2 linked regions of the Mus musculus genome follow. The protein of the gene in region 2 interacts with the protein of the main gene of each other region in a pairwise test. Links are inferred from orthologs where the notes say so. Each region holds a gene or a part of one and is shown on either strand. Other genes may lie near its edges. The genes, in order: Slc38a7 and Sar1a.

The links.
Region 1: the proteins of Sar1a (region 2) and Slc38a7 interact in binary tests that used the Homo sapiens proteins (3 or more experiments, as listed by UniProt). The link is inferred for Mus musculus from reciprocal best matches to the Homo sapiens genes SAR1A and SLC38A7.

The regions. Positions count from the first base shown.
Region 1 is NC_000074.6:95,839,807-95,843,617, forward strand, and holds part of Slc38a7 (putative sodium-coupled neutral amino acid transporter 7), read right to left. Parts: intron 2,518-3,811; coding exon 2,370-2,517; intron 2,043-2,369; coding exon of another isoform or gene 2,036-2,042; exon of another isoform or gene 1,922-2,035; intron 1,916-1,921; coding exon 1,716-1,915; intron 663-1,715; coding exon 608-662; intron 1-607. UniProt on the Homo sapiens protein: Symporter that selectively cotransports sodium ions and amino acids, such as L-glutamine and L-asparagine from the lysosome into the cytoplasm and may participates in mTORC1 activation. The transport activity requires an acidic lysosomal lumen.
Region 2 is NC_000076.6:61,686,480-61,690,290, reverse strand, and holds part of Sar1a (GTP-binding protein SAR1a), read right to left. Parts: intron 518-3,811; coding exon 386-517; intron 1-385. UniProt on the Homo sapiens protein: Small GTPase that cycles between an active GTP-bound and an inactive GDP-bound state and mainly functions in vesicle-mediated endoplasmic reticulum (ER) to Golgi transport.

The sequences.
Region 1 (3,811 bases), on a different chromosome or scaffold from region 2:
CTTATCGGCTGAGCCATCTCACCAGCCCCCTCCCTCTCTTTTTGAGATCGTGTGTGTGTGTGTATGTGTCTTGCTGTGTATCTCTGGCTGGCTTGGTTCTCACTATGTAATGCGATGGCTCACTGCCATTGTCAATTTGATTGGATTTGGAATTGCCAAGGGTGGGTCTGTAAGATCATTTCCAGAGAGGTTTAATAGAGGAGGGGAGCCCCACCTTAAATAGGGCCCAAACAATTCCATGGGCTGAGGTCCCAGACTGACTAAGAAGAAATGATGGAGAAGGTAGGCTGAGAGTCCCTGTCACTACTTTGCTTCCTACCCAAGGACACATGTCCAAACTCCTCACACACTCCTGCCACTGGGACCAGCTGTGTCCTCAAACCATGAGTTGAGGACTCTTTTCCTTTTAAGCTGTTTCTTACAAAAAGTCACTGGCACAGCATCAGGGACTCCAAACCCCTAGCAACCTCACCTTAGCCTCTGAGTGTGGAGGCAACAACGTGTGCCAGTTCCCAGGAATCCCCGAAATTTCAAATGTTCAGGTCTCTATGTTAAGGCCCCTCTTTACCTCCCTGAAAGGCTGTTGGGCTCTCTGGCCCTGCTTTACCTGGCAGGTTTGACCTCCTCCATCTCTGATAGTTTGGCTTGAATGAGGCACAGCCCTAGAAAGAAAGACGGAATCCTGAGTATGGAAGAGGCAGGGATTCCCTCCCACAGCCCAGCCTCCCCAGCCAAGAGGCGGTGGTGGTGATGGAGAAAGGACTGTTTACCGGTGAGTCTGAAATCCAGGTCCCCAGCCTCAAGCTACGCCCAGCTAGACACCTGCCCTCTGCTCTCCCATGATAGGCCAGCGGCTAACAAGCACCGCTTGGGATATATTCAGGACTCAGAGCTAAGGGGCACAATGAATAGGGAATCAGGAATGGCTCATGCCATCTTGCCTACTCCAGAGCAGGCATGGCTCCCTTGCTCCATGTCCAGTGGGATGGGCTTTGAGGAGGCCCCGATACAGAAACAAACTGGGACCAGCAGAACTCATAGCCACGCAGACAGGGCAGGTTTCTGGGGATCTGCAGCTGACCTACGTCGGCTTGGGTCTCTTGACTCCAACCTTAAGGTGCCACGGCCAGGCTTCCTTCCCTCTGGACTGGAATAAGGTAGTCAGATCCTGAGAGTCAACAGTGTACACACTTGAATGAAGGGTTCAAATAGAGACCCTGGACCTGGGCCTATAGGGCTTCAAATGGATTGTCCATAGTTGAGCTTCTTAGCCGCTGGCCTAAATTCTCTAGCTCAGTGGCTCTCAACCTTCCTAATGCCGTGACCCTTTAAAATACAGATCCTTACATTGTGGTGACCGCCAATAAAAAAATCTTCATTGTTCCTTCATAACTGTAGTTTTGCTACTGTTATGAATCACAATGTAAATATCTGACCTGATGCAGGATATCTGATAGGTGACCCCTATGAAACGGCCATTCAACTCCAGGGTTGAGGCCCGCTGCTCTGACCTCACATCTCATCAGTAAAACAGAGATCACACCTTCTCTCTAGGAGTCAGCGCTGAGATGGCAGCACTGTAGCTGAGCCCATGTCAGTGAGCAACAGAGACTACTGCTCATCTTACTGGCAGGTTTTGAGTCCGTGGCTGAGCTATGTAGATCCTGCTGTGTGGTGGTGGGGGTGGGGGTGGTGGCGGCACCCGGGGTGTGTACCTGGGAAGATGAAGATGAAGCAGGCTGCCAGGCCTCCGATGACCGAGATGACCTTGCCAATGTCAGGGATAAAGAGCGCCAGTAGCAAGGTCAGCAGGAACCACACCAGCGTCTGCAGGACCCGGCGCCGGCGCTCCCGGCCCACATCCTCCTCCACGGGCATCCCCTTGTAGCGCAGCCACAGGCCTTCCACCACAGCCCTGCTCACATGAGGAGGGGCTCAGGGTGCTTTGTGCAGTGCACGGGGAGGAGCTCCTCAATGGGCAGAGTGTGGTCCCTGAGCCTGGGTCCTCATGTGTGACCAGCACTGTCCTTGGTGGCTATGGGCTGCAGGTAAGTTTATGAAAGGCTTGGCCTCTTCAAGTGAATATGGATACCAACCACTATGCCCTTTATAAAAGGAATCGTTTGGAGTATTCAAAGGGCTGGCTGGGTTCACATAAAAGCTCATTAAAGGATCTGGACTGGAGACCCTCACAGGGCTTACAGAATGTTCTGGAAACAACAGATCTGGCACGAGTATGGGGGAAGGGCATCCTGGACACATTCTTTTCTGTGGGCTTCAGTTTTCCCTGCTACAAAACAGGTTCCATACAAGGCCATGTATCGTGCTGGCTCCCAGGGGGCTCTGGAGAGGGTGGGGAAGGGGCTCACCGCCCACAGAAGTGCAAGATTGGATAGGAGGTGAGCACACTCAGGATGATGAAGGCTCGGGCAACGGCCACAGCCACGTCCTCTGAGGGGTAGGACCGGAGCACGTCGGGGTCCACAGCAGCTCCAAAGGTTAGGAAGCCACAGATGCCTGTAGGCAAAGACCAGGGACGGGGTGAGGGCGGGCAATCGCAGGAGGGTAAGTGGTGGACCGCAGCCTACTCCTGCTAGGAGCAATGTCATTCAGAAAGAATGCTGTAGCAGCCTGGGAGATGAGGCCTGGGCCTCAGAAAGAAAAGTCTGCCTTCGTAGATGTCCTTTGATGGTGGGCCCACCAGCCCCCACATTTCTCTGCACATGCCTTCTAACTTCTATACTAACCATTCCATCTGCTCAAACAGCCCCGTTGCTGCCTCGGGTCTCAGTTCAGTTGTCCCCTCCTCAGAGAATGTGGACTTGCCCATGCAGTCAGCCCCACCCCAGATACCTGCTTACCACCCTGTTCTAGTCCCCAATCACCTCTCTCTAAATTGCCCATCACCCCGGTCAGAACATGGGACCCCTGACAGAAGGGACTCTTGTGCTTCTTGCTGGTGCTTCAGATGCTGACACAGCACTCTCCGGGTAGCTCCTGTCCTCGTCCCATACCACAGGAGGGTGGGAACTCCCGGTCCATCTCTGACCTCTTGCCCAAATCCACGCAGCAGCCAGAGGTTTCTTTGCCTGGTCATTTCCCATCCAAGAAATGCATCCTCTTGGGCTGGGGAGATGGCTCAGCGGTTAAAAGCACTGACTGCTCTTCCAGAGGTCCTGAGTTCAATTCCCAGCAACCACATGGTGGCTCACAACTATCTGTAATGGCATCTGATGCCCTCTTCTGGTGTGTCTGAAAACAGCCAGGGTGTACTTATATACATGAAATAAATAAATCAATAAATCATTAAAAAAAAAAGGAAGAAAAAGAAATGTATCCTCCCAGACTCCTGGCAGCATCTACTGTCTTCCCCTTGGCTGCCCAGCCTCATAAGCACCAGTTTCTTACACCCCAGCTACAGACCTCCTCCCACATCTGCTCAGAAGCCCTGCACTTACAGTCAGTCTCTCCTTGGAATGCTCCTCCCCACCCAGCCCTTTACCATCTGTCTTATCCCTCGTGGGCCTCCTCAGGCACCCCATACTCAGAGAGAAGCCTTCTGGGAATGCCGCCCCTATTCAGTCCCGTTCCCTACTTCCTGGTTTCAGTGTCATGATGACACCTGCCCCCACCTAAAATTCCATGTTTTCATTATTACTTATACATAACTGTTTCTCCAAGACTGTCATCCCACCAGGGCTGGGGCCAGTTCCATGTGTCCCTGCAGCAACCCTACAATGGGAACACCTTCTGATAATCACTCAGCATCAGTTTAGGACCAATGAGCAGATGGAACACGCTCATCCTGATG
Region 2 (3,811 bases):
ATGGTACAGTCATACGCAAGCAAAACACCCATACATAAAATAAAAAATAAAATATTAAAAGACTGCCTTTTCTAGCATCCTATCATTTCTTCATTTATTAGGTACTGGAAAAGAGATAAAGAGGGTAGGAGTATGGCTGAGAGAGCACTTACTTAGAACATACAAAGGCCTAAGCTCAAGGCCTTTTGTATCACTGGGAAGGAGGGAAGAAGGGAAGAGAGGAAAGAGGAAGGAAAGAACTAAGGAAAATGCCCCTGATAAAACATTTCCACTCAAGGGACCCTGTCTTAAAACACAAAAAAAAGAAAGAGAAAATGTAGGCATGGTTCAGTCACGTGGTCCCCGCCTCCTGCCCGCCTCCTGCCCCCGAGGGCTCTCTGCTTACCTTTCCTGTGGTCTGCCCGTACAGCCCAAATATTTCACGGAGTTTTTCTTCACTGATTGCATCTGTCCTGTCAATTTTGTTTCCCAAGATAAGAATTGGCACGTTGGATATTGTTTCATCAGTCATTAAAGCCTAGAGACAGGATTAAAATAACAGAGCCAAGTGAGCACTTACTAAGTGAAAGCCCATCACTTCCTAAGGCACCCTCGGCACTGCACCTGACAACGGGCTGCTTCATCTTCACATTAGGTCTGAGAGAGCACAGACTGAAAGGCCCTGGGCGCGTTAACAAACCTGGGTATAAATAGAACACAGCAGATGACTTATGTCACAAGGAACTGGACAGAAAGTACACAACAGCCTGTTCGGGGAAGCAGGACAACCCACACTTGAACAAAACCTTAGGTGGACCTGAAACTGCACTCCACAGGAAGGGCAAAACTCGGTGAGTGGAAGGAAAGACCACCACAGTGGCAGTGCAACCAAGTGAGACGAAAGCCACATACAGCGCCGCCTGACTGGATTAAGACATTTATACAGATGTGTAGCAACAGAGCAAATGTGACAGCAACTGACACCCACGTCATGGTGCCAGTCTGAAAACTGTAAGCTCCACTAGCTCCTAAAGACTGTGAACCCAAGGTCAGCTATCTTCACTTTCAGAACAGTGATTTGAAAACCAGTGCTCTGTGCAGTGCTCACCTAAGACATGAGCTGCTAAACTCAACTGAAGGGACTGTGCAAGATAGGTTCTGTGCAGAGCTGAAGTCAGACAGTAAAGCAGACACGAGGAGACAGAGCTGCTGCAGATTTCAGGACTGGGCGTCTGAGTCTCACAGACAGGAGAGCAAGGGGGAGCGAGCATTTTTACCCTGTAAGTGTTTACAGGTTTCCAGAGCATGTCCAGGATGGTGGAAAGGAACAATCCAGACAGCTTCCTTCTGGGAAGGACCATCTGGTAGGCAGCACTGTCCCCTCTTTTGAGGCTGGAGCTCAGCAGGTGTAGATGAGAGATCCACCTGGAGCCATTACCATGGAGGAAGCAGAGACCCTCAGGAATACCTCCATTTAGAACTAAGCAGAAGACCAAGTATCAGAGCTAACACTGGCTGGGCATGTGGTACGCTCTTGTAACCCCAGCATTTAGGAGACTAAGAAGACCAGGCTGGGCTACATACCAAGACCCTGTCTCAAAAAAAAGAAAAAAAAAAAGGAAAAAAAATTAATCTAGAGTATAAAATAGGGGACAGGGAGACAGCATTGGGGAGAAGAGCACCGGCTGCTCCTCCAGAGGACCCTGGTTCAATTCCTAGCACCCACATGGCAGCTCCTATCTATCTGTAATTGCGTGGGACCTGACACCCTCACAGAGACATACTTGCAGACAAAACACCAATGCATAAAAAAAGAAAGGAGAGCAGAGCTGGAGAGATGGCTCAGTGGTTAGGAGCACTGGCTGCTCTTCCGAAGGGCTGGATTCAATTCCAAGCACATACACGGCAGCTCACAACTGTCTGTAACTTCAGTTCCAAGGGACCTGACACCCTCACAGCAATGCTCATAAAATAAAATTAAATAAATTATTTAAAAAGAAAGAAGTTAGCCCCACACAAAATGAGACCTAAACATTTAAAACACACATTAAAAAACAAAAACTTGAGAGGGTTTCAAACTGCAAGAATAAAAGAAACTCACACATGAGAGAGAACAGCGCTGGAGAGATGGCTAAGTGATTAAGAGCACTTGCTCTTGTAAAGGACTGAGGCTCAGTTCTCACTCAGCACCCACATGGCAGTTCAGTAACTCCACTTCCGTGGGATACTACACCTTCTGGCCTCCACGAGCACTGGCATGCATGTGGGGCACACACAGACATGCATGCAACTACTCATACGCATAAACATTGAAGGGCGAAGGAATAGGCATTATAAGGCAACACTATACAAAGGAGGAAACCCAAAGTGAATAAAAACCGGAAGAGTGCTAGCAGACTATGCAGTCTGTCACATGACTCCATAGGAGACTGATTCAAAAACATAAAAAATCAGGATTGGAGAGACTGCTTGGTAGTCAAGAGTACTGTCTGGAGAGATGGCTCAGTGGTTAAGAGCAATGACTGCTTCCAGAGGTCCTGAGTTCAATTCCCCAGCTATCTCATGGTGGTACACAACTATCTTTAATGGGATCCGATGCCCTCTTCTGCTGTGTCTGATGAAGCTACAATGTACTCATATACATAAAATAAATAAAATCTTTTTTAAAAAGAGAGAGAGAGAACTGGCTGTTCTTTCAGGTTCTGAGTTCAATTCCCAGCAACCACATGGAGGCTCACAACCATCTATAACTGAAGTCCCATAGGATCTGATGCCCTCTTCTGGTACAGGCAGACAAAACTCCCACATTCATAAAATACATGAATAAATAAATCTGCTTTAAAAAAGTATAAAACCTCTCAACTCTTGCAGAGTTTCCCTATGCCAAGGCTACAGAAAGAGCAACCACAATGAGGGAACAGCAGTCCTACCAACAAGGCTGGGGCACTGGGCAGCTGAGGAGCGCTGAGCATCTGGGCCATGCAGGTACTGGTGCACCACAAGAAGTATAAAACTCAGTTACTCAACTGCAAGCTGAACGTCCTCAGGCACTGAGAAGCTAAATCTCACTGGGCTGGAGATAGCCCAGTGGTTGGTTAAGAGCACTGGCCGCTCTTACTCCAGATCTATTCCAGTACCCACATGATGGTTCACAACAGTTTATTATCTGTTAGCCCCATTTCCAGGAAATACGCTGTCCTCTGGCCTCTTCAGGCACTAGGCAAGCACACAGCACCCCATAGAGTCAGTCAAAACACTTCTACACATAAAATAAAATAAAATAAAATAAAATAAAATAAGAACATCTTTAAAAAACCAAACCAGGGGCTGGTGAGACGGCTCAGCAGGTAAGAACACCCGACTGCTCTTCCGAAGGTCCTGAGTTCAAATCCCAACAACCACATGGTGGCTCACAACCATCCGTAATGAGATCTGACGCCCTCTTCTGGTGTGTTTGAAGACAGCTACAGTGTACTTACATAGAATAAATAAATAAATCTTTAAAAATACAAACAAACAAACAAAAAAAAAACAGGACTGGAGAGATGGCTCAGTGGTTAAGAGCACTGACTGCTCTTCTAGAGGTCCTTACTTCAATTCCCAGTAACCACATGGTGGCTCACAACCATCTGTAATGGAATCCTATGCCTTCTTCTGGTGTGTCCAAACAAATAAATAAATCTTAAAAAAGACAAAAACAAAACAAAAAAAAAAAAAACGTATTTCTTATCAGGTATTTTCTTCAAAGACTCTGATCACATTAAGTACTGGTACTACTGAGTTTGTATTTCTTAAGGGCAAGACAGAAAAAAAAAATATAAATATAAACCTA